Linked DNA regions of Pelodiscus sinensis. The main gene of each other region encodes a partner of the protein of the gene in region 4 in a complex. Links are inferred from orthologs where the notes say so. Each region holds a gene or a part of one and is shown on either strand. Other genes may lie near its edges.

Evidence for each region.
Region 1: SNRPD3 (region 4) and PRPF6 share a complex: the UniProt entries of both Homo sapiens proteins name them as parts of the U4/U6-U5 tri-snRNP complex. The link is inferred for Pelodiscus sinensis from reciprocal best matches to the Homo sapiens genes SNRPD3 and PRPF6.
Region 2: SNRPD3 (region 4) and GEMIN2 share a complex: the UniProt entries of both Homo sapiens proteins name them as parts of the SMN-Sm complex. The link is inferred for Pelodiscus sinensis from reciprocal best matches to the Homo sapiens genes SNRPD3 and GEMIN2.
Region 3: SNRPD3 (region 4) and LSM3 share a complex: the UniProt entries of both Homo sapiens proteins name them as parts of the U4/U6-U5 tri-snRNP complex. The link is inferred for Pelodiscus sinensis from reciprocal best matches to the Homo sapiens genes SNRPD3 and LSM3.

Annotation. Positions count from the first base shown.
Region 1 is NC_134728.1:4,403,105-4,410,040, forward strand, and holds the start of PRPF6 (pre-mRNA-processing factor 6), read left to right. Parts: upstream 1-3,927; 5' UTR 3,928-3,958; coding exon 3,959-4,140; intron 4,141-6,452; coding exon 6,453-6,621; intron 6,622-6,936. UniProt on the Homo sapiens protein: Involved in pre-mRNA splicing as component of the U4/U6-U5 tri-snRNP complex, one of the building blocks of the spliceosome.
Region 2 is NC_134714.1:45,327,941-45,335,062, forward strand, and holds the start of GEMIN2 (gem-associated protein 2), read right to left. Parts: upstream 3,005-7,122; 5' UTR 2,861-3,004; coding exon 2,631-2,860; intron 1,214-2,630; coding exon 1,129-1,213; intron 1-1,128. UniProt on the Homo sapiens protein: The SMN complex catalyzes the assembly of small nuclear ribonucleoproteins (snRNPs), the building blocks of the spliceosome, and thereby plays an important role in the splicing of cellular pre-mRNAs.
Region 3 is NC_134721.1:22,035,129-22,042,858, reverse strand, and holds the start of LSM3 (U6 snRNA-associated Sm-like protein LSm3), read left to right. Parts: upstream 1-4,711; 5' UTR 4,712-4,849; coding exon 4,850-4,870; intron 4,871-7,407; coding exon 7,408-7,518; intron 7,519-7,730. Other genes in the region: XPC (DNA repair protein complementing XP-C cells), read right to left, coding at 572-776, 3,743-3,857. UniProt on the Homo sapiens protein: Plays a role in pre-mRNA splicing as component of the U4/U6-U5 tri-snRNP complex that is involved in spliceosome assembly, and as component of the precatalytic spliceosome (spliceosome B complex).
Region 4 is NC_134725.1:6,973,801-6,981,764, reverse strand, and holds the start of SNRPD3 (small nuclear ribonucleoprotein Sm D3), read left to right. Parts: upstream 1-4,948; 5' UTR 4,949-4,972; coding exon of another isoform or gene 4,973-5,018; 5' UTR 5,019-5,087; exon of another isoform or gene 5,088-5,093; intron 5,094-7,404; 5' UTR 7,405-7,428; coding exon 7,429-7,554; intron 7,555-7,964. Other genes in the region: protein GUCD1, read right to left, coding at 69-153, 4,136-4,196. UniProt on the Homo sapiens protein: Plays a role in pre-mRNA splicing as a core component of the spliceosomal U1, U2, U4 and U5 small nuclear ribonucleoproteins (snRNPs), the building blocks of the spliceosome.

The DNA.
Region 1 (6,936 bases), on a different chromosome or scaffold from region 4:
GAAGTAGCAACAGTGGGAAATTTTAAGAAAAAATTCTTAGATTTAGTATAGACAAGGTCCTGAGTTTTAAAAGCAGAGCAACATGGTGTGTGCACATGCATATCATTGTGTGAATGCATTGGTAATTACTACGTGCACACACACATAACTCACTCTCTCTCTCTCTCTCTCACACACACACACACTGAGTGTGTATGTAACTCTCTCCGTATGTGTACGTGCACATGTAACACACTGTATATATATGTCTCTGTATATAATAGTGTGTGTATGCAACATACTGTGTATGTCAGGGTCTATGTACGTAACAGTGTGTATGCCTGTGTATAGCACATTCTGTGGATAATATACTGTATGTCTATGTAACACTGTGGGTATGTAACACACAGTGTGCGTGTCTGTATAGATAACACAGTGTATATGTCTTTGTGTGTAGCATATTCTGTAGTGTGTCTATATATGTGACATACACAGTGTATATCTATTGTAACACACACACCATGATGTATGTGTAACATTGTGGGTATATGACTATGTGACATACATTGTATGTGTGTTACTGTGTGTGAATGGTTATGTATGTGACACAAACTGTATGTGTATGTAATACTGTATATCTAATGCACTATGTGGGTGGAACTGGGAGTGTATGTAACATATTTTATGTGTGTGAATGCATATGTAGCATTGTGTGTGGTAGATATGTATGTAACACACAGTGTGTGTGCAGTATTCTGTGGGTGTAGGTCTATGTGTGTGCAACATCTGCTGTGGGTATATGTCTTGGTATATGACACACTGTATGTATGTATTATTTGGTTGTGTAGGTAACACACGGTGTGGGTTCATAGCTGTGTATGTAACACTACATGTGATACAATGTTTGGGTGCATATTCAGATATATGATACAGTATGTGTGTTTGTGTGTCTATGAAAGATAGAGAAAGAGAGAGAGATGTGTGTGTGAGAGACACAATGTGGGTGTATGTCTAGGAATGTGACAGACAGCAGTGTGTGTGCATGTGTGTGTGTGAGAGAGAGACACTGTGTGGGTGTATGTCTAGGTGTGTGACACACAGCAGTGTGTGTGTGTGTGAGAGAGAGACACTGTGTGGGTGTATGTCTAGGTGTGTGACACACAGCAGTGTGTGTGTGTGAGAGAGAGAGACACTGTGTGGGTGTATGTCTAGGTGTGTGACACACAACAGTGTGTGTGTGTGTGTGTGTGTGTGTGTGTGTGTGAGAGAGAGAGAGAGAGAGAGAGAGAGAGAGAGACACTGTGTGGGTGTATGTCTAGGTGTGTGACACAGCAGTGTGTGTGTGTGTGAGAGAGACACTGTGTGGGTGTATGTCTAGGTGTGTGACACAGCAGTGTGTGTGTGTGTGTGTGTGTGTGAGAGATAGAGAGACAGACACTGTGTGGGTGTATGTCTAGGTGTGTGACACAGCAGTGTGTGTGTGTGTGAGAGAGACACTGTGTGGGTGTATGTCTAGGTGTGTGACACAGCAGTGTGTGTGTGTGTGTGTGAGAGAGACAGACACTGTGTGGGTGTATGTCTAGGTGTGTGACACAGCAGTGTGTGTGTGTGTGAGAGAGAGACACTGTGTGGGTGTATGTCTAGGTGTGTGACACAGCAGTGTGTGTGTGTGTGAGAGAGAGACACTGTGTGGGTGTATGTCTAGGTGTATGACACACAGCAGTGTGTGTGTGAGAGAGAGACACTATGTGGGTGTATGTCTAGGTGTGTGTGTGTGTGAGAGAGACAGACACTGTGTGGGTGTATGTCTAGGTGTGTGTGTGTGTGAGAGAGACAGACACTGTGTGGGTGTATGTCTAGGTGTGTGACACAGCAGTGTGTGTGTGTGTGAGAGAGACACTGTGTGGGTGTATGTCTAGGTGTGTGACACAGCAGTGTGTGTGTGTGTGTGTGAGAGAGACAGACACTGTGTGGGTGTATGTCTAGGTGTGTGACACAGCAGTGTGTGTGTGTGTGAGAGAGAGACACTGTGTGGGTGTATGTCTAGGTGTGTGACACAGCAGTGTGTGTGTGTGTGAGAGAGAGACACTGTGTGGGTGTATGTCTAGGTGTGTGACACACAGCAGTGTGTGTGTGTGTGTGAGAGAGAGACACTGTGTGGGTGTATGTCTAGGTGTGTGTGTGTGTGTGTGTGTGAGACAGACACTGTGTGGGTGTATGTCTAGGTGTGTGTGTGTGTGTGTGTGAGACAGACACTGTGTGGGTGTATGTCTAGGTGTGTGTGTGTGTGTGACAGACACTGTGTGGGTGTATGTCTAGGTGTGTGTGTGTGTGTGTGTGTGTGTGAGAGACAGACACTGTGTGGGTGTATGTCTAGGTGTGTGTGTGTGTGTGTGAGACAGACACTGTGTGGGTGTATGTCTAGGTGTGTGTGTGTGTGTGTGTGAGACAGACACTGTGTGGGTGTATGTCTAGGTGTGTGTGTGTGTGTGTGTGTGTGAGACAGACACTGTGTGGGTGTATGTCTAGGTGTGTGTGTGTGTGTGTGTGTGAGACAGACACTGTGTGGGTGTATGTCTAGGTGTGTGACACAGCAGTGTGTGTGTGTGTGAGACAGACACTGTGTGGGTGTATGTCTAGGTGTGTGACACACAGCAGTGTGTGTGTGTGTGTGTGAGAGAGACACTGTGTGGGTGTATGTCTAGGTGTGTGTGTGTGTGTGTGTGTGAGACAGACACTGTGTGGGTGTATGTCTAGGTGTGTGTGTGTGTGTGTGTGAGACAGACACTGTGTGGGTGTATGTCTAGGTGTGTGTGTGTGTGTGACAGACACTGTGTGGGTGTATGTCTAGGTGTGTGTGTGTGTGTGTGTGTGTGTGAGAGACAGACACTGTGTGGGTGTATGTCTAGGTGTGTGTGTGTGTGTGTGAGACAGACACTGTGTGGGTGTATGTCTAGGTGTGTGTGTGTGTGTGTGTGAGACAGACACTCTGTGGGTGTATGTCTAGGTGTGTGTGTGTGTGTGTGTGAGACAGACACTGTGTGGGTGTATGTCTAGGTGTGTGTGTGTGTGTGTGTGAGACAGACACTGTGTGGGTGTATGTCTAGGTGTGTGACACAGCAGTGTGTGTGTGTGTGAGACAGACACTGTGTGGGTGTATGTCTAGGTGTGTGACACAGCAGTGTGTGTGTGTGTGTGTGTGTGTGTGTGTGTGTGTGAGACAGACACTGTGTGGGTGTATGTCTAGGTGTGTGTGTGTGTGTGTGTGTGTGTGAGAGACAGACACTGTGTGGGTGTATGTCTAGGTGTGTGTGTGTGTGTGAGACAGACACTGTGTGGGTGTATGTCTAGGTGTGTGTGTGTGTGTGTGTGTGTGTGAGACAGACACTGTGTGGGTGTATGTCTAGGTGTGTGTGTGTGTGTGTGAGACAGACACTGTGTGGGTGTATGTCTAGGTGTGTGTGTGTGTGTGTGTGTGAGACAGACACTGTGTGGGTGTATGTCTAGGTGTGTGTGTGTGTGTGTGTGTGTGTGTGTGAGACAGACACTGTGTGGGTGTATGTCTAGGTGTGTGTGTGTGTGTGTGAGACAGACACTGTGTGGGTGTATGTCTAGGTGTGTGTGTGTGTGTGTGTGTGTGAGACAGACACTGTGTGGGTGTATGTCTAGGTGTGTGTGTGTGTGTGTGTGTGTGTGAGACAGACACTGTGTGGGTGTATGTCTAGGTGTGTGACACAGCAGTGTGTGTGTGTGTGTGTGTGAGAGACAGACACTGTGTGGGTGTCTGTCTAGGTGTGTGTGTGTGACACGCTGCGGGTGCCTGTGTAGGATCGCGGCGCAGAGCGCGCCCCGCCCGGCGCCAGACGCACAGACCCGCCCCCCCTGCAGGGGGCGGGGACACAGACCCGCCCCGCCCCGCCCCGCCCCCGCCGCGCGCCTGGCTCCCGCAGCGCCGCCCTCCCGCCCGCTCGGCTCCAACATGGCGGCCAGCAGCGCCTCGGCCTCCGCTTCCGCCGCGGCGGCCCCCGGGGGCCCCAACGCGACCGGGCCCGGCGGGGCCTCGGGCCTCACCGCCGCCATCACCGGCACCATGAACAAGAAGAAGAAACCCTTCCTGGGCATGCCGGCGCCGCTGGGCTACGTGCCGGGCCTGGGCCGCGGGTGAGCGAGGGGCCGGGCCCGCCGGGAGCCCCCCCGACCCGCCCCGCCCCCCGGGACCCGCCCCGCCGGGAGCCCCCCCGCCCCGCCGGGAGCCCCCCCGGCCCGGCCCTGCCTGGAGCCCCCCCCCCGGACCCTCCCCGCCCCGCCGGGAGCCCCCCCGGGACCCTCCCCACCCCGCCGGGAGCCCCCCCCCGGACCCTCCCCACCCCGCCGGGAGCCCCCCCCCCGGGACCCTCCCCACCCCGCCGGGAGCCCCCCCCCGGGACCCTCCCCACCCCGCCGGGAGCCCCCCCCCCCCGGGACCCTCCCCACCCCGCCGGGAGCCCCCCCCCCGGGACCCTCCCCACCCCGCCGGGAGCCCCCCCCCGGGACCCTCCCCACCCCGCCGGGAGCCCCCCCCGGGACCCTCCCCACCCCCCCGGACCCTCCCCTCCCCACCCCGCCGGGAGCCCCCCCCCCCCCCGGACCCTCCCCTCCCCACCCCGCCGGGAGCCCCCCCCCCGGACCCTCCCCTCCCCGCCGGGAGCCCCCCCCCCGGACCCTCCCCGCCCCGCCGGGAGCCCCCCCTCCCGGAGCCTCCCCTCCCCACCCCGCCGGGAGCCCCCCCTCCCGGATCCTCCCCTCCCCACCCCGCCGGGAGCCCCCCCCCCCGGACCCTCCCCGCCCCGCCGGGAGGCCCCCCCACCGCGCCCTCCCCCGCCGCCAGGAGACCCCCCCCCTCGGACCCGCCCCCGCCGCCAGGAACCCTTCTTGGGGCATGGGCTTGGTGTCCTTGCTCCTCGCTGGCTGCAGGGTGCATGTGTCGCACTGGTCCAAGAGAGCCGCTCTCCTGGCGCTGTCCGTCTTGTCCACACGGGACCGTGGCACCCCTGGGGAGAATTTAAACCGATTTAGTAAAATCCCTTTGGCAGGACGGCCAGTGGGCTGGACTGTCATCTACTAGGGCAGCGGTGGGCAACCTGCGGCCCATCGGGGTGGTACGCGAGGCCCCTCGGGACATGTTGTTACTGTTTCCATGCGCAGGGTTGCCAAATTCTGCTAATTTGAGTCTGTAGGTTCCCCCTCCCCCCCACAGGTGTTGTTAAAGTGATGCACACACAAAGCAGGGGCATGTGAAGTGAGGTGCATGCTGATTGCACTCAGCAGTGCCTGTGAGAGCCGTGCACTCCCTCTGCATCCAGTTAAGGTGGTGCTGCTACCCTTCAGTCTGCACACTGCAAATTCTTTTTAGGCAACCACAACTAGCAAAACTGCCATGGGAGACCGTCTTCGTTATGACAATTTTGCAGCCCACTGAGATGAAGGGCCACTCGTTAGCTTAGATTGCCCATTACTGCCCTAGAGCTTGTCTACATTTACAGCAGCTGTAGCATCCAGTGCAGACTGCTACCTATACTATAGTGATGGCAGAGCTTTTCCTTTCTAAGGGTATGTCTACACTACCCCCCTAGTTCGAACTAGGGGGGGTAATGTAGTCATACGGAGTTGCAAATGAAGCCCGGGATTTGAATTTCCCAGGCTTCATTTGCATAAAGCCAGCCGGCGCCATTTTTAAATGCCGGGTAGTTCGGACCCCGTGCCGCGCGGCTACACGCAGCACGGACTAGCTAGTTCGGATTAGGCTTCAGCTAATGCCTGGTGTACACTAGGAAATTATGGTGGTTTAACTACCTTGCTCGGGGAGTTGAAAAATCCATGCCTCAGAGCAACACAATTAAACTGACCTAACTCCCCATGTAGATTGCATTCTTGTCAGTTTAGCTACCATCCCTTTGGGAAGTGGATCACCTAAATCAGTGTAGGTATCATCTTTGCTGCAGCATTGTAGGTGTGGACAAGCCCTATAGCCATTTAAATTAACATCACATTTTAAACCAATGCAACTGTCCCATGTGGTCAAGGCCATAGGAGCTCAATGTAAGTAACTCTAATGCACATAGGTGGGTGGACAGAGATGCTGGGGACAGTGGATTTAGGGTTTCTGAGTAGGCACAGCCTTGCGTTACACAGGATGGAGGCTCTCTTTCACTCCATACTCCCCTTTCCCACATCTTATGTATTTTTAAAAAGGAGGTATCCCTGGAGGAGGGGCAGGGCAGAGAGAGAGGATAAATCCTGGGTCCCTCCTACATAGAACTGTCTGTTAAAGAGGACAGATGTTCTGAAGTGACATCATTTAACTATGGGGACCTGGTGACATACCTGTGAATTACAATATTTGTAAAGCCTAGTTTCGGAGTTTAAAACACACATCAGTTTATTGTAGCGCTATTGCTACAGGCTAAATGATGTCTACTGGTCTCTCAATGTAGTGCTACAGGTTTTACCACCCGTTCTGATATTGGTCCAGCTCGAGATGCCAACGATCCAGTGGATGATCGTCATGCTCCGCCAGGGAAGAGAACAGTTGGGGATCAGATGAAGAAAAACCAGGCAGCTGATGATGATGATGAAGATCTGAATGACACCAATTATGATGAGGTGATGGGGCTGTAGCATTCCAGTTAGCTGTTTCCTCCTGGTGGAGGGAGTTACTTGTGATTCTCTCTCCCTCACCCCAGTCCTTCAGCAGAGGATACACAGGCAGAATTCCTTGTAGAGTCACTTCACGCTACCCATTGTGTAGATGCCATTGCTATATTTGTCATTTTAATTTTGATGTTTGCTTATTGTTTGTTTGTCCCTGAGTGTTTTGGGTGGGATCTCAAAATTAAACATGAGTCCTCCTGGTCTGTGGGATGCCTCTGTATTTGATTTCAGTATTACGTATTTTTGTTAAAGGAAGGAAACGTTTTC
Region 2 (7,122 bases), on a different chromosome or scaffold from region 4:
GAAACACTTCCTAACCATCAGGGTGATTAAACAGTGGAATAAATTGCCTAGGGAAGTTGTAAAATCTCCATCTCTGGAGATATTTAAGATCAGGTTAGATAAACATCTATCAGGGATGGTCTAGATGGTGGTTGGTCCTGCCATAAGGGCAGAGGTCTTGACTCAATGACCTCAAGGCCCCTTCCAGTTCTAGTGTTCTATGATGCTATGGTTCTAACAGGCCTGGCTCTGGGGGAGGGGAGAGCACATAGGGCTCCGCACACTAGTTCTGCACTCCCATTGGTGGGGAACCTTTTGCTGGCTGCTTCTGAGCTGCAGCATGGTCTGAAGTGGCAGGAAAGGCAGGAAGCCTGCCTGAGCACCCCCACTGCACCACTGATAGGAAACTGCTCAAATTAAGCCCCTCCTGCCACAGTCCTGACACCCCCAAAGCTGGAGCCCCCTCCTACACTTTAAAGCTCTCATCCTCAGCCCCTCTGGAGCCCATACTCTAGTCAAATTATGTTGGGTTGTGGGTATCAACGATTTTCCTCAACCTCCAAGGCACATCCAGATGTGTGCCACTAGTAGAAAAACATGCTGCCAACTGTGAGGACTCTGCTAACCAGCTGGGTGGCATGTGAATCTCTCCTGGATGGACACCTGAGAACTTAGCTTACAGGGAACAATGGCAGGCTCTGGCTGGGATCCACTTATCTGGATCTGCAAGACTAGATTCCATTTACTTCTACAGATTGCTTAAATTCAGTTACTCTATGACATGGTTCCCAAACTGGGGGGGCGTCTCCCCCTGGGAGGGGGGGGTGAAGAAATTCAAGGGGTGGCATGAGGGCCCCCTCAAGTTTTGCTGCTATTTTTGTTTCTCATCCCCTATCAGTTCCTTCCCCCGCCCCCCCAACAAGTTTTGCTGCTATTTTTGGAGGGGGAGTGAAGGTTCCTCAAAAATCAAAAAGGGGGCATGATGCTAAAAAGTTTGGGAACCACTGCTCTAGGACATATCTAATGCATACACCAAGTATCCAAAAATGTTAAGAGACAAACATTTTAATATGAAATCAAAAGCTTTTTTCGTTTAACTATCTGTTTTTCTAAAAAAAGCTTTAGAATATATACACACACGATACTTACTGCAATGTTTACTGTCTGCTTCTTTCTCAACTTTTTGGGGTCTATCTGTGCCACAACAACATCTGGACATTGTGCTGCTTCAATCCTTCAAACAGAAATAAAAGGTTATATTTGAAATCCCTGAGCTGTATCCTGTAAAACCAGAAACAGTCACAGGTTGAGTTTTCATGAAGAGATACTGACCAAATTCAAAACACATGCACAATTCTTAAGTTATCAATGAGAATCTATCAAAGAAAGAAATGTTAAAAGCAAAAATATTTATTTGGAAGGGTTTTAAAACGTTTTATGAGTTTACAATGTAGACTACGAATGGTTGATAAGTGCCCCCATTTTACAGATACACAGGAGCGGCCTGAGGCAGGCTGCGGCAGCTGTTGCCCCAGGCGGAATGTGTGATTGGCGCCCCTGCCTACAGGGCTGTCAATGGACTGACGTCATCATCAGCCACCCCACTGAAGGCGGCGCCCTAGGCAATAGCTGAGTCCGCCTATAGTCACGGGCCACCCCTGCAGATACAAAACTGCTTAAAGTGAGCCCATGTGTGAGACAGCCATAAAAAAAATCCAGGGCTTCTGATTTCCAGTTTTGTGCTTTAGTTACAAGACCACTTTCCATCATAATCATAAGTAAAGATCACTATAATTTGCAGTTGTAGTTGGTAAAATAACATTCTGTGCAAAGCAATTTGTACCGACTACACCACTAGTCGATGAGGACCGCTATGCAGAACCACAGCAGGGGTAGCTCCAGAAGATGGTTCGAGCAAGGAGTGAGCAGTCCCGGCTCTTGCCATCTCTGGGAGCCACCCACGCTGCAGCTCTGCATTTTAAATATAGTAAGAGATGCAGGGCTGGGCTCTTTCTACATTTCAAATTTAGAGGTGCAGCGTCCCAGACCAACGCAAGCAAGAACTGCACCATCCCGGCTCATGCTGAGTTCAGCAGGGCAAATTGTATCGACTACAAGATTAGTTAGATAACCACAGTTTAACATCCTTAGACGTTAGAGACAAGGCAGCTAAAGGGTTTGGTAAATGGGTTAGGCATAGACGCAGAACCTGGCTCTCTCAATTCCCTGAACAGCACTTATTTCTTAAGGATATCAAGGCCACACTGCACTGTAAACCTGAGCTCAATTAGGACTCACAGGACCCCGGTGCTAGGACCGGCAGGTCTGAGCCGGAGCCCTAGTGCCATTCAGGACCAACCCCTATGATTGTGCACAAGAGCTACAGCTCAAGCCTAGGTCTGCAAAGGTCTGATCAGGGGCCGTACCCAGGTCCAGGGCGGACCCACAGGCGGGATCTGGAAACAGAGGAGACCCAGGCTGACAGAGCAAGGAAGGGGGCGGGGCGGCCCACAAGCGGGGTCTGGGGTCAGCCCCGCAGCTCGCTCAGCGCCCGAGAGCTGCCCGGCCGCGGCTCAGCTCCCCGCGCCCCGGCGGGCTCACAGGCCGCGCTGCCCTGGAGGGGAGCCCCAGCGGACCCTTCCCCCACTTACTGGACCCGCTTTAAATACTCCTGGGGCGTCCGCGGGGGCAGCGAGGGGTCGAAATCCTCCGTGAGGTCACAGTCCCCCACCGGCAGGAGCCGGGGCATCAGCTCCTCCGCCGCAGACTCCATCTCCGCGCGACGGCCCGTGCTGCCCGGGGGCCTCGCAGAGCGCAGGCGCGTGGAAGGACGCCGCTGACTTGCAAGCGCCGTTCGCGGCAGCGGTAGGAGACAACGCATGCGCACTGCATGTTTCCCCCCTGGCAGCTGGGCAGGCTGCCCATTCTGACGGCCGGGGTAGAGCAGCGCGCTGCCTTCCTTAGGGCTCCATGAAGTCTTGTCTGTATGCGTCTGGGCCCTTTCACCCCACGGTCCTGAGCTGAAGCGTCCCTTTGGAGCCTCCAGAGACCATCCGGTTGCATCATGTGGTCCTGGCCCCAGGCTGTAGCAGGCCCGCTGACTCCCGTGGCAACAATGATCGTGCCCAGGGTCATCTGCTGCCAGGAAGTGTATCATTTAGGATCATGACCAAAGCATGGCGTAAAAGGGCGTATTCCCTTTTAAACAGCATCGTGCCTTATTTTCCATATGCTCTTGGGACAAACGGAGGGCATTGTGATTTATTGCAAGTCACAGCTGCAGGACACAAGTCTCATCCCTTCACCCCCAGCGTGCAGAGACAGTGGCCATCTGCCCAGCTGCACCGTCCCGAGGAGCCCCTTCTAGCGCATGCTCATCCCCCCCCCTTTTCCCCAGAGGCTGGATCCTTTCCATAAACTACATCTAATTCAGCGCTCTGGCCACAGGCCCCAGAGCCTCTGCCCACCGATGGTTTAACAGCCCCTGCAGAACAGGGACAGTCTGCCCTTGTGTACCCTGAGGTGGCAGCTGTGGGTGGGTCCAACAGGGCAGGGTGGGAGCAGTCACTGTTGGTCCATCTTCTCTGGCTGCAGGGATGCAGTGAAAGCCTAGAACTCCTCTGGGTAGAAGCGCTTATACGCACTGATCTTGCTCTTGATCTGCTTGGGTGTGTCCTGGTAGTAGTTCTTCTCATCACGGGCCATTGCCTTATAGTTCGTCCTGGTTCCGTATCATGTGCTGCACATAGTCAATCAGGTCTCTGGAAAAAAACCTTTTTCAAAAGAATCCGTATTCCTCATTTTTTCAGGAATACGGGTTATTTTGAAAAAGGGTTTTTTTTCCCCCAAAGGATCCCGTCTAGGCTGCGCTTTCACTTTTGAAAAACCCTTTCTTGAAAAAGTGCTTGGATGCAAATATGCAAATGAAGTGCAGGATATTTAAATCCACGCTTCATTTGCACTTTCAATTTGCTTCATTTACATTCCTCTTTCGAAAAAGGAATGTAGTCTAGACATAGCCTGAGTTTGCTGTCACTATGGCCAATAAATGGCAAAATGAAATGTAACAGTTGGCCAACAGATTTATGTCTCATCATTGCCTTTAGGGGGACTGATGTGTCAAAGTGGAATGATGGATTGGGATTGGAGTAGAGAGTAAGAAGTTTCTACACCATCTTGGCCCCTATGAGAAAACCTCTTGAAGGGCTAACCTTTGGCTTAACATACAGAAACAACAAGCAATATTATATATACCAAACACACTTGTGCCCAGATAGTTCTGTGACGTTAATCTACAAATGGCAGAGCAATTAAATCATCAAAACTCCACTAAATCTAGATAGCTCTTTAATAATAATTTTAAAAGATCAAGGCAGTGTTCTCTAACCTAAATATCAGCATTAGCAAGTATTTTTTTCAACACCAGTGCTTAAGATTCAATCTTTCTCCATTTAAGTCAATAGAGGTTAGTAATTCTTTTTTTATTTCCAACCTGTCTCATCTAGCCGTTCTCCTTTGCTTTCTGCAGAAGGAAAGATAAGTGTAATTAGGAGGCTGATAGGAACTGGACTCTTAGGGCATGTCTACACAGCAGGGCTAAAGTTGAATTAAGCTACGCAACTTCAACTGTGTCAATTGCGTAGCTTAAGTCAAAATAGCTTAATTCGGCTTTTGGCACTGTCTACACAGCAGGAAGTCAAAGGAAGAACACTCTTCCTTCAACTTCCCTTATTTCTTGTGAAATGAGGGTTACCATGAGTCGGAGTAAGAAGTCCTCTAGCTTGACATTATTTCAAAATAAAGGCTTGTAGTGTAGATGCACACTATGTTATTTCAGAATAACACCAGTTATTCCGAAATAATGCTGCTGTGTTAGACATACTCTTTTAGACAGGGATCCATTGCCAGTGTTTTGGGCCATGTCTCAGAGAAATAAACTAACTTTACTACATCTTAAGACCAGTTGTTTTAGTTGAGGCAGCTGTTTTATTTTCTCCATCAAGTGAGAATACATTTCAGACAAAAGATGACACACGCACAGGATATCCTAAATGAAGACTAAGTGGTATTTAGAAAACAACAACATACGTTATAGAGAACTTACATAAAACTTTCCCAGTTCTCTGTGTCAAATGAGAATAATGCTACTTCCCTTCTCTGTAAGGGTCCTTGAGATCTATGGCTAAAAAGCTCTGCACTATTTAAATAAATAAAATAATAATAATAATAATTAATAACTCTAGGCAATGATACAAATAGCTTATGTACTTATTCCTGAAGAGTCAGTGCAAGGATTTTTAAATTTTACAGCACTTAGGTTGTTTCTTAGCTACAATAAATGCCCTATCTGAAAGGCACTTTTGGTTGTTTTTTCTATATTTTAGCAGTTCTGAACAAGCAATGACTTTCAGCTTTCCTCTCCATTCATTTTTATTTGCTTTTAAGGTGTTTCTCATAATTATTTATGTGTAACAGGCAGCTTTACTCTAAAACCAGGATGTAACTTCCTATTAGTGCACGTGACAAGTTTGAACATTGTCTGAAATAAAACCAGCTTAATCAAAACTACATTGGATTTCAGGAGAGTTTGACACAGTGGAAAAGATAAATCCTTAACTTTGTCAAAATGTAAATGGATTTTTTGAAAATATTCATATTTTAAGATCTATGACTTTACTTGGTGTGAAGACAAGAATTATAAAAACAAAGAGAACCAGGGACTTTGATGCAGCAAGCGTAAATGTATGCAACTTTTTAGTGATCTAGATTTTTTTTTCCCTAAACATTTCTAATACTGCTTTTTGAAGCAGAATAATATTATTTGAATTAACTACTTACTTTTAAACTTACTGTTACAGGAAACACTGGTGGATTTCCAAGGTCTATTAAGAGTATCAAGTAACAAGATTTAATAATGGAATTCATGAAATATCTGACAGAGCTCTATATGATTCAGTGGAGGAAGAAAAGAAAACAGCCAGAGCTGAATATTCTCTCTCTTTATCAATTGCCCTGGAGTTACAAAGGAGTAATTTCTTGAAGAAGAGGTGAGTTGCCACCCGTGGATGTGAACTGATGATTCAAAAAACTAACAAGTGAATCTGTAACATATTGCAATAAGGTAAGAAAAGCAAAGTGGAATTACTATGTATAGTAACACCAGGGGATAACAGATAAGAGATTTTCTGACTGTTGTTTTTGGACTCGTTTATCATTCCAATATGTATCTATGTGTTCATCCAAGTACTTTTGCTTCTCTCTAAGGTCCCCATCACTACAAAATCTGTGCATCTTCCTGAAGTGCTATTCAGGGTACAAGAAATGTGGGATTGAGGCCTTATAAAATATTTTTTTACAGTGACTGGTAACAAAAATATTTCATACTTCTTATCCTCAATGGGTTTTCACTATATTGTACCCTCCTGATTTTCCTCCTTCATCTCTGACCATTTTTCAGTGATTGTTGTCAAGTGCTCCTCTCTGATGAGGTTTACAGGGCTACGCCGGGGCTCTGTCCTTGACCCTCATTTCTTTTCTCTTTACACTGTTTCTTTGGGCAATCACTATAACATCTGAGTACTCTCAGAAACCATAATATTAAGGGAATTTTTCATCTGGTTTAACAGCATCTGACAACCAACTATTTGGGGCTCCAACCATTTTTTTTTGCATGATGGGGTATCTACACAGTGCATACTCTCAACTCACACCTCAATATTTCTTCCAACTGATAGTGGAATTAGAGTGTGTGGAGGAACTCAGAATTTCTCCATTTAGGAAACATGGGACCCTGTTTTGGTCTGCAAGCTCTTTTAAGATATGAAGTCAGCCCAGTCATTCAGACCATAAGATGGATAGTATTGAAAATAGTAGTTGTACAGGATTTCACAGCTAAAATACAAATAATAGATATAATGATGTTATGGTCACTGATATTGTTTCACTGATTCTAGGCGGTTATTATCATGTGACACGTTTTCAGATTCTCTGAGAAAAAATGCAAGCAAGATGATAGTGTTTTGCTCCCCACAATGAATAAAATTACTCAGAAAAGACCACAGCTTTTTAAATCCTTTCTCTCAGACTTGTTGGATAAAACCATTCTGGTGTGGTAACATTGCTTTGTAAATTTAATCACCAGTT
Region 3 (7,730 bases), on a different chromosome or scaffold from region 4:
AGGAATTAGAAGTGTGTTTCTTTTGCAATTTAGTAAAATGTGTTCATGTTGGCCAGTGAAATGACATTTTATTTCCTGCTATTAGTGCATGGAAAAGCTTCTACATTTTTAAATACAAATGTCAAAGAATCACAGAAATTTAGGACTGGCGGGGACTTCTTCAGATCCCCTGCACACAAAGCAGGATTATTTCTTTTGTTGCAATTTAAGCCCATTTCTTCTTGTCCTACTTTACATTCCTCCACACTACCTTCATTTAAAGACAAACAAATCTAAAATTTGGCCTAAATAACTCGATAACTTCCATATAAAAATACAATTATTTGCACTATATAAAACTTGGAAACATTTTAAATATTAGCTTTCCACCAAGATTAAATTCCAGTGGCCTGATCCTGCAAATAACTATGCCCCTGAAATAATTATGCTCAAGTGCATAGTTCCAACTGAGATTATGAGCATGACTAAAGGAACCTGGATGTATTTACAAAACTGGGTTTTAACTAAACACATTTAACAAAAAATATAATATTGTTCCAGACTGTTATGCTGATGCTGTAAATTAACTTACCTGCACATTTCCCCTTTAAGATTCCCTTCATTTTTCACAGCTATGTTATTTTCCTCCTTCACTGTTGACTTTGCTCCTTTTTGCCTTGAAGATCTACCTGGCAGGCTATGAATTCCAGTGTCACAATCTTTTTTCTTCTTTTTATTTCCAGCAGGAACTTTTGAGAGACATTTCTTCAGACTGAGCTTTTCTCCTTCAAAATTATCTGTATTAGATCAGAGGGGAAGGAGATATGTCAAAAAGTGAAACCATAGCTCCACAGAACTCAGTCAATAAAAAAAAAAAAAAAAAAAAAAAAAAAAAAAACTCTCAACAACTTCAATAGAGCTAGCATATCACTCACAGGCTGCAGAGGAAAATGCAGGTTTTGCATTTTCCTCTGCAGCCTGTGAACATATTGAACATATTGTCCTAGAAAATAATTTTCACAAATATGCAGCATTAAGCAAAAAGTGCATTTGAAGCAAAACCATCATGGAAATTTCACAGCCCCAAATAAACAAAATGGATAATATCTGCCCTTATCAATAATGGTGGATGAAAAATAAATATTCTACTCACCTACAGCCAGAGTTACTTTTCCCAGACAAGTGGAATTTTGCAAGACTGATTTAAATCACCTCTTTTATGAGGATTCTCTCTCAACAATAGCAAGATGCTTTCCTCATCACACCTGGATCAAACCACTGTGCCCGTTGCAATGGGTACATTAAGTGCATATGAGATTAGAATGATGGGCAGAATTCCCTAATGAAATGTGCAAAGTTTTCCTCCTTTCTAGAATATGGCATGGTTTGACAGAATTGGTATCCATTATATAGGAAAAGTTATTTTAAATGTAAGAAGTTTCAACGTGACTTTGTAAGGAAAAAAATGCCACTTATCTAATTCAATATGGGTTATTCAATATTCCTGGGAGGCTGCTGGTGTCCAACCTAACATACAGATTGTTCCTGGAAACACTCACAAACAAGATCAGTCTATTCATGCAGGTAGCTCCACTGAAGTCAATGCATGAGTGATGGAGCTAGTTGCATAAAGTTGCTTAAGTGTTTGCAGAATCAGGGCTACGACCACAATGCATTCTTGGTCAGTATAGTAGAGAAGGGCAGCAGACGTAATTTTGAAGGAGCTGATTTTTTTCCAAAGCTGCATTTCGTCATTTACTAGCTGAATACTCCTCTGCTTGTGACTATGTCTGACATTCAGCTCATTACTTAATAATGATCCCATTTTGGAGAAACTTTTGCAGGTCACTTTTAAGATGTTTTTATTTTCTAATAAGCAGTGATTATCTGTTGTAAACATACAGCTCCTGGAAGCCTGAGAGAAGCAAGAAAAGTGGAGAGAGATTTCTGATGTTATAGTCTTATGATTTTTATGCCAATCCCCATACATTCCAGGGGGTCTGAGTCACATTTTTGAACATCTGGGTCTGGCAATACTGCATTTATTGCTGGACATTCACAATGGGCCCAATTCTGAAAGCAGTAATATTGGTTCAAATCCAATGAATTTTTTAAAAAGCAACTTTGAGAGAAAATGTACTAAGGAGAGTGGTTTTCGTACTTTAAATATTTGTTTTAAAAAGGCACTAATATTGTGAATTGATCCATGACACCACACTCTTAGGCCCTAATGGCCTCCAGTCTTTAAAAGGGTTTTGCATATACACAAGGGACATTAACGTATACATATGGGGAGCTAGGGGAAGCTCCTGCATGCATGTAAATGTGTAACAGCTGAATTTTTCAGTGGTTACATGTTTACATAAACAAACACATTTTAACATCCCTAATGAAGAGTTCAACAGAATTCAATCAAGGCCTACAATGACTCTAAAACCATTATTTCTTGAATGGTGTGTTTTTGAGAGGCCTGATTTCCTGAGGCCTTCACTTTCATTGACCAGGAGTTAAGCATTTTGCAAGATCAAATCCAATACAGCAGATAAAGCAGTTAAAAAAAACCACATCACTCTGAAAATGTAGCATTTCATAGGGCTTCTTCTAAATTAAGGAATGAAACAGACTGCTTGAAAGTCACACCACATCATCTTCAACAACTATGTGAAATCTAGAGATAAATACTAAATGAAGATGTGGTGACAGAAATACTAACTATAAGCCTCAATGTTAGATGAACAAGAAATACAGAATTAGGATTTAAGATTATATTGTGTTCCCTTCAGTTAGCCTTTTCCACAAACACATATACAATCAAATTCTACCATTATTTGCATTAAGAATGACCTGAATTCCATGCTTATATTTTACATAAATAATACCCTAAAGATATGCTGAAATTACATGTATTTATTAAAGCTGCCAGCAGTACTCTATCCAGAACCTTTATTTTTCTTAGCTTCATCAAATCATTTGATCCTCCCTCTTTCATTGTAACAAAGGAAATGTTTAGAAATTGTGGATTGTTTCCTGACAGCACTAGAAACTTCTCTCAAGAGAAAACTATTTTGCTTATGTAACATTGAAATGTTGACTGTAATGGGGCTGGAAAAAAAAGCTAAATCAGTCATGATCACATTATACAGTATAAGGGACAACAGATCAGCAGATGGAGTTAAACACCACAAAGAACACTACACTATTTAGTGGCTATGCAAAGAGATTGTGGTTTAAAAGGATTTCATCTGCTGTTTAATATTTCAAAAGCTTTATTTTAGTAAGCTCAAAACCAGCAAATAACTGAGACAAGAACAATTCTAAATAAATGTTTCATTTAAACAAATCCTATAAAAACCCTACAGAAAAAATGTCACAAAATAAATACAGCTATAAATAAACAATATCAGAGAAGTTTGATTTATTCTTCACAGTCTACTGTAATTAGAAATGCACATTGGACAGTAGGCTAGAGGATTGCGTTTAAATGAGAGGAGAGTCTAACAAGACAAGTGAGATTTTAAATGTCCCATTGAAATATGTAGCAAAAATCCTTTATCAGCACAGAGGAATGATTTAAAAGTCATTTTAAAGTAATTCCAAATGAGCATGTTATGTGAAGGGGAAATATTCCTCCAAATGAATTTTCCACCCCCAATCTGCCATCTAAGTTCCAGGGGCTGCTTCTCTTTGATAGTATATTCTCCATGATGCTTATGCAACTGCTCGCAACAGGGTCTGGCTCAAGAAAGTCTTCGTCTACACTCACCCTCTCCTTCTTGCCTGAGAGTTTGGAGGGCCCTGGTGGCTGCTGCAGCAGGCTCTGCCTTGAATTTCTTGCTGCTAGCCTCTTGCTGCAAGGAACCTTTGCGCTTCTTGGCCATGCTGTTTCCTCAAGGCAAGGGGGGCAACCACAGACTGGTGAGGGACACAAAGCAAACCCAGCGGAGATGAAGGCAGCCTCCTTCTCTGGGTGAGGCCTTTGCACGCTCTCCCCACCTCCGAAGCGTACGTGCACCCTGAGCCCTCCTCCTCCTCCTGGAGCTGCAGGAAGGCTCTGGGGAGGCTGGGCTAGCACAGCCGGCTCCTGCCTCAGTCTCCTCCTCCTGCCTGACGTCTCTTCCGTCCCGGCCGGCCGAGAGGCAGTCCGCAAGGGCGGCGGATAGCGCCCGTGGCTGCCGTTTGTGCAGAGCTGCCTGGGCGCTGCAAAGGCCTGTTGGGCAGTGATCACCAATGGCCCCTTCTTGGCCGGGGCTGCTCCCAGCGTGCCCCCGAAGCCCAGCCTGGGCTCACGCCGTCCTCAGTTCATGCCCCGGGGGGTGCCTGCGGGCCGGGGCTGGAGCTGTACTCCGCCCCCACTGTACGCCAGTCCGGGGGCACCGCTGCACTCGGCACGGGCCTTAGGCCGGCTCTCGCGCCCACGGAGCCATTGCCCATTAATTCCTAAGGAGCCCGGGCGGGTGCCTCAGTTTCCCCATCTGTAACAACATGGGGCACCTGCGTTCGCTTTCCTTCGCCACGCCGGGGGGGGGGGGGGAGCTGACGAGCACATCGACAAGCCCCCCCGGTAACGGAAAGGTGGGGGGAGGGAACTGAGGCACAGCTAGGCCCTGTGACCGCAATGGGGAGACGCGGAGGCACAGCCGGGGCCAAATCCGCAGACCAGCGGGGGAACCACGTGGCACGAGCCCGAGCGGTCCGCAGCCGCACACCGCGCCTGCTCCGCCAAGCCCCGCCCCCACCACCCAGCCTGAGCAACGCACCGGCCGCTCTAGCCTCCCTTGGAGGCCGCCCCCCCACGCCAACCGTGACGTCGCCACCCGCCGTTTCTACGCGCCGGCGTCGCGCGGGAAGAGGCGGGGCTCGCGTTTGAAAGATGGCGGACGAGGTGGACCAGGTGAGCGGCTTTTCCTCTCCTCGCCGTTCGGAGCCCGCGCGAGCCCGGGGGGGGAGGGGCGCTTCGGTTCTCCCCTTGCCCTGGGATCCCTCCCGTCTGGTTGCCGTTGCTCTCCGTAGCAGGGACGGTTGATGAACGGGGCTGGATGCGCGAGCGCCTGTGGGGTCTCTCCCTCTTGACTCCCCAGTTTCCCATGTCCCGGCCCTTCCCAACTTGCCGCTCACAGTGTAGCGGAACGGCGGCCCTCCAGCAAAGACACGCTGCATACGGCTCCCTCCATAGCGCGCCCCTCCCCGCCCCTGAGCCCCAGCTCAGCCCATGGGGGCTTGAGCAAGCGTGACCGGAGATGCTTCCGTTTTCCTGGTCTGCCGAACTAAGGCAGAGCAGGCAAAGGGTTAGGGTTTCAGAAAGCTGCAGCCTTTGACTTGAGACGGACTCCATAGTCCCCTGTGGAGCAGCAAATCTTTAACCTCTCAGTACTGCAGCTTACATCAAAACGTTTCCTTCTGTTTCAGTCTTCATTAGGTTGATCTTTGCCGTTAATTGCGTGATTGAAAAACATCGAACATCTCTGTGGTCTTAGTGTCATTTCAGTGCTGGTTTCAGTCTCCTGGAGCCTCAGTATTGGCAGTGCTCTTATCAAGCTTAAGAGATGTATGATTTTGTTATGTTTTGTACTTCTACTGCAGTCTGATTTGTTGAAAGTGAAGCTGAAGAAGTAATGGGGAAGGAATATAAAATACTGGAAAAATTTAAAAAACAACAAATAGTCTAGCAGCACCTTAAAGACTAACAAAACATGTAGATGGTATTAAGGATATTTAAATTGTGGTTAATTGACTAGTCAATAGAACTTCCATCAACTACTCAACTAGCCGATAGGCACTTCTGCATTCTTCCTTTGAAATGTACAAGAGCCCGCTTGGGGCTGCACCCAGTGTGCCTTCTTTGAAATGTACAAGAGTCCCCAGTGGGGGCTCTTGTGCATTTCAAAGCCGTGGAACCCAGGGTCACGGGGAGACTCCCCAGTTGACCCCAGGTTCAGTGCAGCATTTCAGCAGAACCCGAGACAGCTGATCCCGAGATCAGCTGGGGAATCCAGCTGAAACATGGTGGCGGTGTTTCAAAGGGGCAGCACTGCACAGCTGATCCTCAGTTCAGCTGTGCAGCACTGCCACTTTGAAGTACCCCTTCTTCTCCTTCCCTTTGCTGCCTCTGTGATAGAGGTAACAAGTGGAGGTGAATCGGCTAGTTGACTGACTAATCGATAAGCATTTGCTTATCGGATAGTTGACTAGTCCCTAACATCCTTAGAAGGTATCATGAGCTTTTGTGGGTACAACCCACTTCTTCAGATGAATGGAATATACCATTCATTGTGCCCAGGAAAGCTCATGATACCATCTACATGTTGTGTTAGTCTTTAAGGTGCTGCTAGACTATTCGTTGTTTTTTAAGTTTTTCCAGTTACAGACTAACTCAGCTACCTCTCTGAAGCTTATAAAATACTGGATACTTACTCCAGAGATCCCAATGCATTATCCCTTTGGGGCAACGGACCACTATTTCGTACTGTTTTCGCAATGCTGAGTATAGTGGGGCTGAGGACTAGAGCGCTAGGTCAGCAATGGGCAACCAATAATAGTGATTTTCATGAGTTGGACCTCCTTCATCTCAGTGGGCAGTATGACTAGTGGTCTGCAGCCTGCTGGGGTTCCACTTGTGGCCTGCACACCCCCTGTTTGCTCCCATTACCCATGCACCCCTCGCACACTGGGACCCTGTAACCCTGCATTTCCTACTCTTTCCCCTCCCTCCCAGCACTTTTGGAGCACCACAAATCACCTGATTCGCACTCCTTCCCTGCTACTCCGCTCCAGCGTTCGCAACTGTTCAAGCTCTGAGGGAGAGGAGTGAGAATGGGGCATAAATCAGGTGATTTGTGGTGCTCTGAATGGGCTGGGAGGGAAGGAAAGGAGTTGAAAGTGCAGGGCCCAAGTGCACAAGAGGCGTGTGGGGGAAGGAGGCAGACAAAGGGTCTGCGATCCACAGTTGGAGCCCCATTGGACTGCATGTGGGATGTAGGTTGCCCACTTCTGTTCTAGGTGCTACAGTACTACAAATAATTTTCCACCAATGAGAACAGCATAATCAATGGCAGTGTAAACTTCTTTACATCCTTGCCAAAGTATCTCAGACTTGACCATGTGAGCTCAATTTGGAGGATGTAAGCTATATTTTGTACCCTTTCTGTTCAGACTTCTGGCCTGTCCACTAAAATTGTCAATAGAGGGTACCAGTTGTGATAATAGTACTGTCCTCTAGGAAGTTAACTGAAATTTATGTCATTTCATACAGGCCACAATATGCTCATTCTATGATAATGATTTTTGGTTTCTACCAGGTTGGGCTGGACCCAATAACTGACCTGAAAGTGAAAGGTACCTTTATCCTATACGTGAAAGAGACTGACCGGTTTTGAACATAAAATTTTTGAGGCTTTTGTATATCGCAAAAACTGCTGTCTGTATTTTTAGCAACAAACAACAAATACTGTAGAGGAGCCACTGGATCTGATCAGACTCAGTCTAGATGAACGAATCTATGTGAAAATGAGGAATGATCGAGAACTTCGAGGCAGATTACATGTAAGTAAAACACTGCAGAAAGATTTAGTACTAGTATACTTTTAACCATTGAAAGGTACATCTAAAAGCCCAGGCAAATTATACGCTTGGGCTACGTCTAGACTGGCATGATTTTCCGGAAATGCTTTTAACGGAAAAGTTTTCCGTTAAAAGCATTTTCGGAAAAGAGCGTCTAGATTGGCATGGACGCTTTTCCGCAAAAGCATCCATGG
Region 4 (7,964 bases):
ATCCCACCCAACATTCCCAATTTTCCATGTCCCAAACCCACCCCTTTGAATCAAAACCAGTTACTTACTGCAGAACCATCCTGGAGCAGGCTAGCCCACAGTCCCAGTGATACAACTGCTGAAGAACTGGCACTTGCAACTGGACATAGTCAGCTGTAGTAAAGATAACACATCATTAGAAGAGCATGAGAGGCAAATTACAGTAGATGTAGTATACTTAGATTTTCAGAAAGCCTTTGACAAGATCCCTCACTAAAGGCTCTTGTGTAAATTACATGCCATACGATAAGAGGGAAGGTCCTTTCTTGGATTGAGAACTGGTTAAAAGACAGGAAATAAAGGGTAGGAATAAATGGTAAATTTTCAGAATGGAGAGTGGTGTCCCCCAAGGGTCAGTCCTGGGACCAATCCTTTTCAGCTTATGCATAAATGATCTGCAGAAAGGGGTAAGCAGTGAGATGGTAAAGTTTGCGGATGATACCAAACTGTTTAGGATAGTCAAGACAGAAGCAGACTGTGAGGGACTCCAAAAAGATCTCACCAAACTCAGTGACTGGGCAACAAAATGGCAAATGAAATGTAATGTGGATAAATGTAAAGTAATGCACATCGGGAAAAATAACCCCAACTATACATAGAGTATGATGGGGGCTAATTTGGCTATGACAAGTCAGGAAAGAGATCTTGGAGTTATCGTGGGTAGTTCTCTGAAAACTTCCACACAGTGTGCAGTGGCGGTCAAAAAGGCAAATAGGATGCTAGGAATTATTAAGAAAGGGATAGAAAATAAGACCCAGAATATCTTACTGCCCCTGTATAAAACTATGATATGCCTACATCTTGAACACTGTGTACAGATGTGGTCTCCTCACCTCAAAAAGATATTTTGGCCTTGGAAAGGGTTCAGAAAAGGGCAACTAAAATGATTAGGGGTTTGGAACGGATCCCATATGAAGAGAGGTTAAAGCAACTGAGACTTTTCAGTTTAGAAAAAAGGAGACTGAGGGGGGATATGATAGAGGTATATAAAATCATGAGTGGTGTGGAGAGGGCAGATAAAGAAAAGTTATTTATTAGTTCCCATAATAGAAGAACTAGAGGACACCAAATGAAATTAATGGGTAGCAGGTTTAGAACTAATAAAAGAAAGTTCTTCACACAGCGTGTAGTCAACCTGTGGAACTCCTTGCCAGAGGAGGCTGTGAAAGCTAGGACTATAACAGAGTTTAAAGAGAAGCTAAATAATTTCATGGAGGTTAGATCCATAAAAGGCTATTAGCCAGGGGATAGAAGTAGTGTCCCTGGCCTCCGTTTGTCAGAAGCTGGAGAAGGATGGCAGGAGACAATTCGCTGATCATTGTCTTTGGTCCACCCTCTCCGGGGCACCTGGTGCTGGCCAATGTCGGCAGACAGGCTACTGGGCTAGATGGACCTTTGGTCTGACCCAGTACAGCCTTTCTTATGTTCTAAATTAGCCCAAATGTGGTATCCTTCCACACATTAGTATTATAAGTCCTCTTGCTACCAACCATACTCAAGTGCTGTACTGGGACACTTGAGAAACACTTGTTATTTTGTTCCATTAGCAGATTATGTTTCTCAGCATAAAATTTAGTTTTTTTTTTAAAAAAAGAGGTAAATTTCCAAATTGTTAAAGTAAGTTAACTATTAAGTGTCTGGTTTAATCTGACACTATTTCTCTGTCACAGGTCTGGCCAGTTCTGCAGCAAAGTCATCCTTGTATTCCTTATTAACTTCTTAGTTCTTACTAGGCAGATCCACCTATTCCTGGTCACAACTTCTGTAGGATGATGAAGTGGTAATAAAAACCTAAGAGACATGTTGAAGAAGCAATAGGTTTTCATCTTTTATTGTGGTGAGCCTGAAATGGAGTCTCTGGATTTAAACAGATTTTGTAACTGTGGCAATTTTCAGTGCAGTCTAACTCCATCAAAGATGTGCCTAGACACAGCGTTCATCCAACAATAAAACATACCATGCCACAAGAAAGTATTGAGCCTGTGATCAACAGGAATAATAGGAGGACTTGACTCACTGAGAACACTACACTGAGCTCCAGTAGGAGAAGTTGAGTTAGTGCGATGTCAACTGTGTCTTCAGAGTTAGTGTAAAGACCAGTGTAAAGACAGGAACAAGAGGTCTTAAACATGTGAATTAGTTATGGTTATCAGCAACTCCTCAAGGTTGTGTTTTAACTTGATGTAATTTTCTAGGAAAGATATGCTCAAAATGCTTTTGGCAGAAAGAGGCCAACATGGATTTTGGGGTCTCCTTCCACAGCTTCTCAGATTTCTATGTACCCTACACTTTCTCATCTTTTTCCTTGTGGCTTTGAAAACTAGTGTACTTGCCAAGGACATCAAGTGTCTTTAGTTAGTCTATGGCTGGCCAGTACACATCAACATGCTAACTCATTATCCTAAAGGAAATGCTAATCCTCAAAGTTCTCTCACATTAGGAATTATGAATCATTTGTCACAAATTTCTGGTGATGGACTATACTAATCTCATTTTCCACTAACCACTTTACCCCCACTAGGTCCCTAAAAGAGAACACATTTTCTTCTATAAAAATTTCAAACAGTAATAACAAGCCTATTGTGTCAACTAATTTCCTTTGATTTATTGCGTTTCCAGCCATACTGCCTTGTCCTCCACTCCCTTTGCCACACCAGCTTCACATTACTTTTCAAGCTCCCTAGATGAGAATGATTACCAGCAGTTTTAGGATAAATGAAGTGACAAAATATGCTCCCCACAATAAACTGAACAGCAAGTCACCTCCAATTTGATAAATGCTCAGTGTGACAGATCCATGAAATGTAGCCACTAATTTAGGAGACAGCACTACCCTTAGCAACATGGATCTTAGGCAGGTACAATCAGTAATCCTGATCTGACAGACCTGCAAGTACATGGAAGACAGATCCTTGAAGATCTGCCTGTAGCTGGTTAAAGACACCTTGGCTACGTCTACACTGGCGCATTCTCTCACACAAACTCTTTTGCGGAAAAGTTCCTCTGAAAAAGCTCTTCCAGAAGAGAGCATGTACACTGGCATGTGCTTTTGCGCAAGAGCATCCATGCCAGTGTAAATGCTCTCTTGCTCAAGAAAACTCTTGATAGCCATTTTAACCATAGGGCTTTCTTGTGCAAGAAATTCATGTTGCCTGTCTACACTGGCCTTTTCTGGAAGAGCTTTTGCACAAGAGGGCTTACTCCTGAGTGGGAGCGTCAGAGTTCTCGCACAAGCCCTGATTTTATACATTAGAACATCAGTTTCTTGCACAAGAACACATGGCCAGTGTAGACAGGCATCAAAGTTTGCACAGAATGGCTGCTTTTGTGCGAGATCGCATAGTGTAGAGACAGACCATATGTTCCTGGAACAGTGGTATTTTCACACAGTGATAGAGCACTACCATCTTTCCAGAATGATACAGGATTCTTTTCACTATACATTCAAAAATCCAAAATGTTCTGCTGGAAAATACCTATCTGGTATTTATATACAAGTTCTCACATTGAATCCAGTTCAACATAGGGGCTGCGTCTAGATTGGCATGATTTTCCGGAAATGCTTTTAACGGAAAAGTTTTCTGTTAAAAGCTTTTTTGGAACAAAGCATCTAGATTGGCACAGACGCTTTTCTGCAAAAGCACTTTGAGTCCGTGCCAATCTAGACGCGCTTTTCCGCAAAAAATCCCCAATCGCCGTTTTTGCGATCGGGGCTTTTTTGTGGGAAAAAAATCTGAGCTGTCTACACTGGCCCTTTTGCGCAAAAGCGGGACTTTTTGCCTGAATGGGAGCAGAATAATATTTCCGCAAGAAGCACTGATTTCAGACAGTAGGAAGTCAGTGCTTTTGTGGAAATTCAAGCGGCCAGTGTAGACAGCTGGCAAGTTTTTCCGGAAAAGCGGCGGATTATCCGGAGAAACTGGCCCGTCTAGACACAGCCAGGGAGTAAAGGGGTAACTGGTTTCCTGGTAAGCATTGCTGTACTGCATGCTTACTGGAATGACTAGATAACGCCAGCTGGAGCAGCTACCTGCCGTGGCAGAGGGGTCAGGCTCACAGTGCCGCAGCGGGTTGTCCCGTCCTGGCCAGGCCTTACCAGGCAGAGGGCTGCTCCAGCGGGGCCTGCCTGTGTGCAGGGCGGGCGGCTGGTCAACCATTCAGTTCAAGGGTGAGGGCTTTGAACTGGACGCTCCTTCCCTCAGGAAAGCGGGGCCCCTCCTCCCAGCGATTCCCAGCCGGACACTCCCGCGCAACATCCCGCGCCCCCCTCTCCGCAGAGCCGGGGTGTCTCGTGCGCCGGGCCCCGCGCTGCCGGGCGAGCCCCGGGGGGGGGGGGCCGATCTCCCGGGGCGATTTCCGCGCTCGGGGCGGCGGCCGCGGGGTCACGCGCCACAGGGCGCGCGCGCGGGGGGAGGGGCGTGTCCGTGGCTCCCACGCCCCGCGGGGGGGGGGGGGGAAGGGCCGCGCCCCGCTCGGAGGCGGCTCGGAGCCCCGGGGCGCCGCTCGGCCCAGCCCGGGACACACTGACCTGAGGGCGGCTCGGCGGCCTCCGTGGGGCTTTTCATGGCGGCGGGAGGGGCCCGGGCCGCTCAGCGGGCGGCCCCGCGGGGCCCCCTCATGTCCCGGCGCTGCCGCCGGGCCGGGCCGGGGCGGGCGGGGAGCTGCAGCGCCGGGCCCGGCCCCTCAGGCGCGGCGGGGGAGCGAGGACGAGGCGGCGAGAGCGGCGCCCCCACCCCGCGCCGGGCGCGGCTCACCAGGGCCAGGCCGCCCCGCCCCCAACTGTCAGCCGCGCGCGGCCCCGCCCCCGGGCTCGTGCGGGGGGGGGGGGGGGCGGGGTTTCCCCGGCAGGCGGGACGCTCGCGGCCGGGCGCCGAGGCCTGAGGCCGCGTGCGCGCAGCAACCGTCGAACTGGAGGGGGAGGGGCGGAGCTCACTTGGGGCGGCCAGGCCCTTCCGCATCCGGCCGCGCGCGCGGTGCATGGTGGGACGCCGGCCATTGAAGAGCGCTAACGCGGAGCCCACGCCGCAGGGAGACGTGCCTCGCCGAGCGTAAGTGGCGGGCGGGAGCAACCACCCAGCCCCGCGTGCGGGGAGCCGGCCGGGCCTGGGGGGGGGGGGGCTCTGCTCCTTCCCCTCCCCCCCCCCCGCACCGGCATTGTGACCGCGTGGGAGCGGCCGGGCCCGTCGCGCGGTGACTCCCGAGGGGGGGTTCGCGCCTCTAGGCGGGTCTGCCCCTTGGCTGGGCTGTGGGAAGCCCCGTGCAGTGAGATTGACCCCCCCGCGCGGAGCTGGGCCCGGCCCGGCCAAGGCAGCCGCGTCGCCGCCGGGGGGGGGGGGGGGGCTCTCGCGTGGGGCGGGGGCTGCGGATGGAGCAGCCTCTCGATCCCCTTCCCACTGCCTTGGATGGCAGCAGCAGGGCTGGGGGAGGCAGGGGGCACTGCAGACATGGTGCTGTGGGCACTGGCTTTCAGCCTGGCTCCCACCAGCATTGGCTGCACTTCTTCCTCCCTATCCCCCTCCCTCCACTTGCTGCCTCGTAAGCCAGCAGCCAATGCGCCACTCAACTACCCCATAAGATTGTGCTGATTAGGTAGTCAACTAACACCCCTGCTGGTCTAGGACACGTTACTTAATTATTTGTGCTCACATGAATAGTTGACTTGAAGTCCATAAATGCATCAATAAGAATTTGCAGCATTGGGCCATAAAGCGTCTCAGTGGCTTTGACACATCCTTTTCACAAGGACTTAACAAGACTTTGAACTTTCTCACCCATTACCAAGACAGTTTCCCCAATTATCACCTGTAATACCATTAACTCACAAACATCCCACTCTCCCTACCTTTAATATCAGCAATTCACAGACACTTACCTTCCTTCCTTCCCCCCCCCCCCCCCGCATCCCCCTCCTGTTCTGCAATGTGATTTGTCCTTTTCATATTTGTTCATTTTTTTTAATTGTTTCCTTTGGTATATATGGTTGTGACTACTTTCTTCCACTATTTGATCTGAGGAAGTGGGTCTGGCCCACGAAAGCTCATCATCTAATAAACCATCTTGTTAGTCTTTAAAGTGCTAATTGTCCTGCATTTTGCTTCAGCTACCCCAGACTAACACAGCTACATTTCTATCACTATTCCTTTTCATAGGATACTAGGTGAATACTTTTTTCCTAGCTGCTTAGCCTTTTTTTCAAATTTGAAAGAGGTCATGTCTTTTGTTACCAGCTTCAGTTAGTAAAGGAGACAAGCTCATGAGCTACATAGTAGCGATGTTTTTTTTTTTTTTTTAAAAAGAGGTAATTGGGCAAATGTATAGCCATTGAAAACCTCAGTGGTTACCTGCAGCCTATATTGTTATACTTTCACATCCCTGCTACATAGAGCTCTTCTTCTGTTAATAAAGATACTGCTTTTCTATCCAATGTGTTGGGACTAACATGGCTATGAAACCTCTTTCCCGGATGATAAGAGACAGAAGGGTAGCCAAGTTAGTCTTTAAGGTGCTTCTAAACTATTTGATATTTTTTAAATTTTTCCTGTTACAGACTAACAAAACATGTACATGGTATCATGGGCTTTTGTGGGCACAACTCACTCCTTGAAGAAGGCATCAGTTTCTTTAACTTAAAGGAAAATAGTCTGGGGCATAGCCATGTTAATCTGTAACTTTAGAAAAGTAGTTCTGTGGCACTTTCGTATCATGAGCTTTTGTGGGTTAGACCCTCTTCATCAGCTGCACTTCTCTGATGCCACAGAACTATTTGTTGTTTTTAAAAGAAAATATTATTTTCCTTTCTTTAGTAGCAAGCTAGTGTCTTAGCATTGCTGATTTCTCTGCTTTGGTATTCTTAAGCCAGTTTCATTTTGTTGGTATAGACCATCAAAGTTAGAAGAGTTGAGTAGATGTAACTAAAACGATATAGAAAAGAGCCTCTCAACCCTCTTTTGTGACTAACTCCTCAAGTTCCTCAGTGTTTCTTCTGAAAATATAGAAAATTTGAACTTTTTCTTCCCCATCTTCCATGGCACTTGGAGATGTCTCATTTCTTTCCTTGCTACCAAGATTTTGAGACCCAACATGGTCTTTAAAATAAAATGGTTTGACATTTATATAGCTGTTCAATGTGTATAGAAGCCTTAATTCTGATGACCTGTTCTGTGAATAGTTAATGGTGGCAAAAATTCTATTTGAGCAAGCTGACACTTTTCAAGGACATTCAATTTATAGGGGGGAAAAAACAGGAGCCAGTAGTTTTGTATTCTCTGGATTAAAGCTTTTATAGAAATCTGAATTGTGTAGGCAAAGTTTCTGGATAAAGAAACTTACTGTGCTCTTCTGCTTTTTTTTGTGTGTGTCCCCTAGTTTTAGAGAAGTACTACTGCAAAGATGTCCATCGGAGTTCCAATCAAAGTGCTGCATGAGGCAGAAGGCCACATTGTGACATGCGAGACGAATACAGGGGAAGTCTACCGTGGCAAACTCATTGAGGCTGAGGACAATATGAACTGCCAGGTATGTCTGGGAAAAGGAATTATGCATTTTTGGAAAGGTCCCTCTTTGTTGCTTTTTAACTTTACTAAAAATTGACATCTGAGAATAGACGAGAAAGGTGGGTTATCATGCTCTGTAGCTTTGCCAAAGTGAAATAGTCTCACCTGTGATCTAGAGGGGACAGCTGATACTTTTTGGTATATAGGGAATGTTCCTAATATAATTTATGCGTTTTTCAGAACTCGGTTCTATGCCTAATTTGAGGAAATTGCATTTTGCTCATTATTTCAACAGCTTCTCTTGAGTGCTACATGCTCAATTCTAATTGATTTTTTTTGAGCTAGAGTTTTATGTTCAAATAACAAATCATTCACTTTTCTCATGAGAAATTACTTTTGTAATCTAATGTGTAATTACTTTTGTAAACTAAT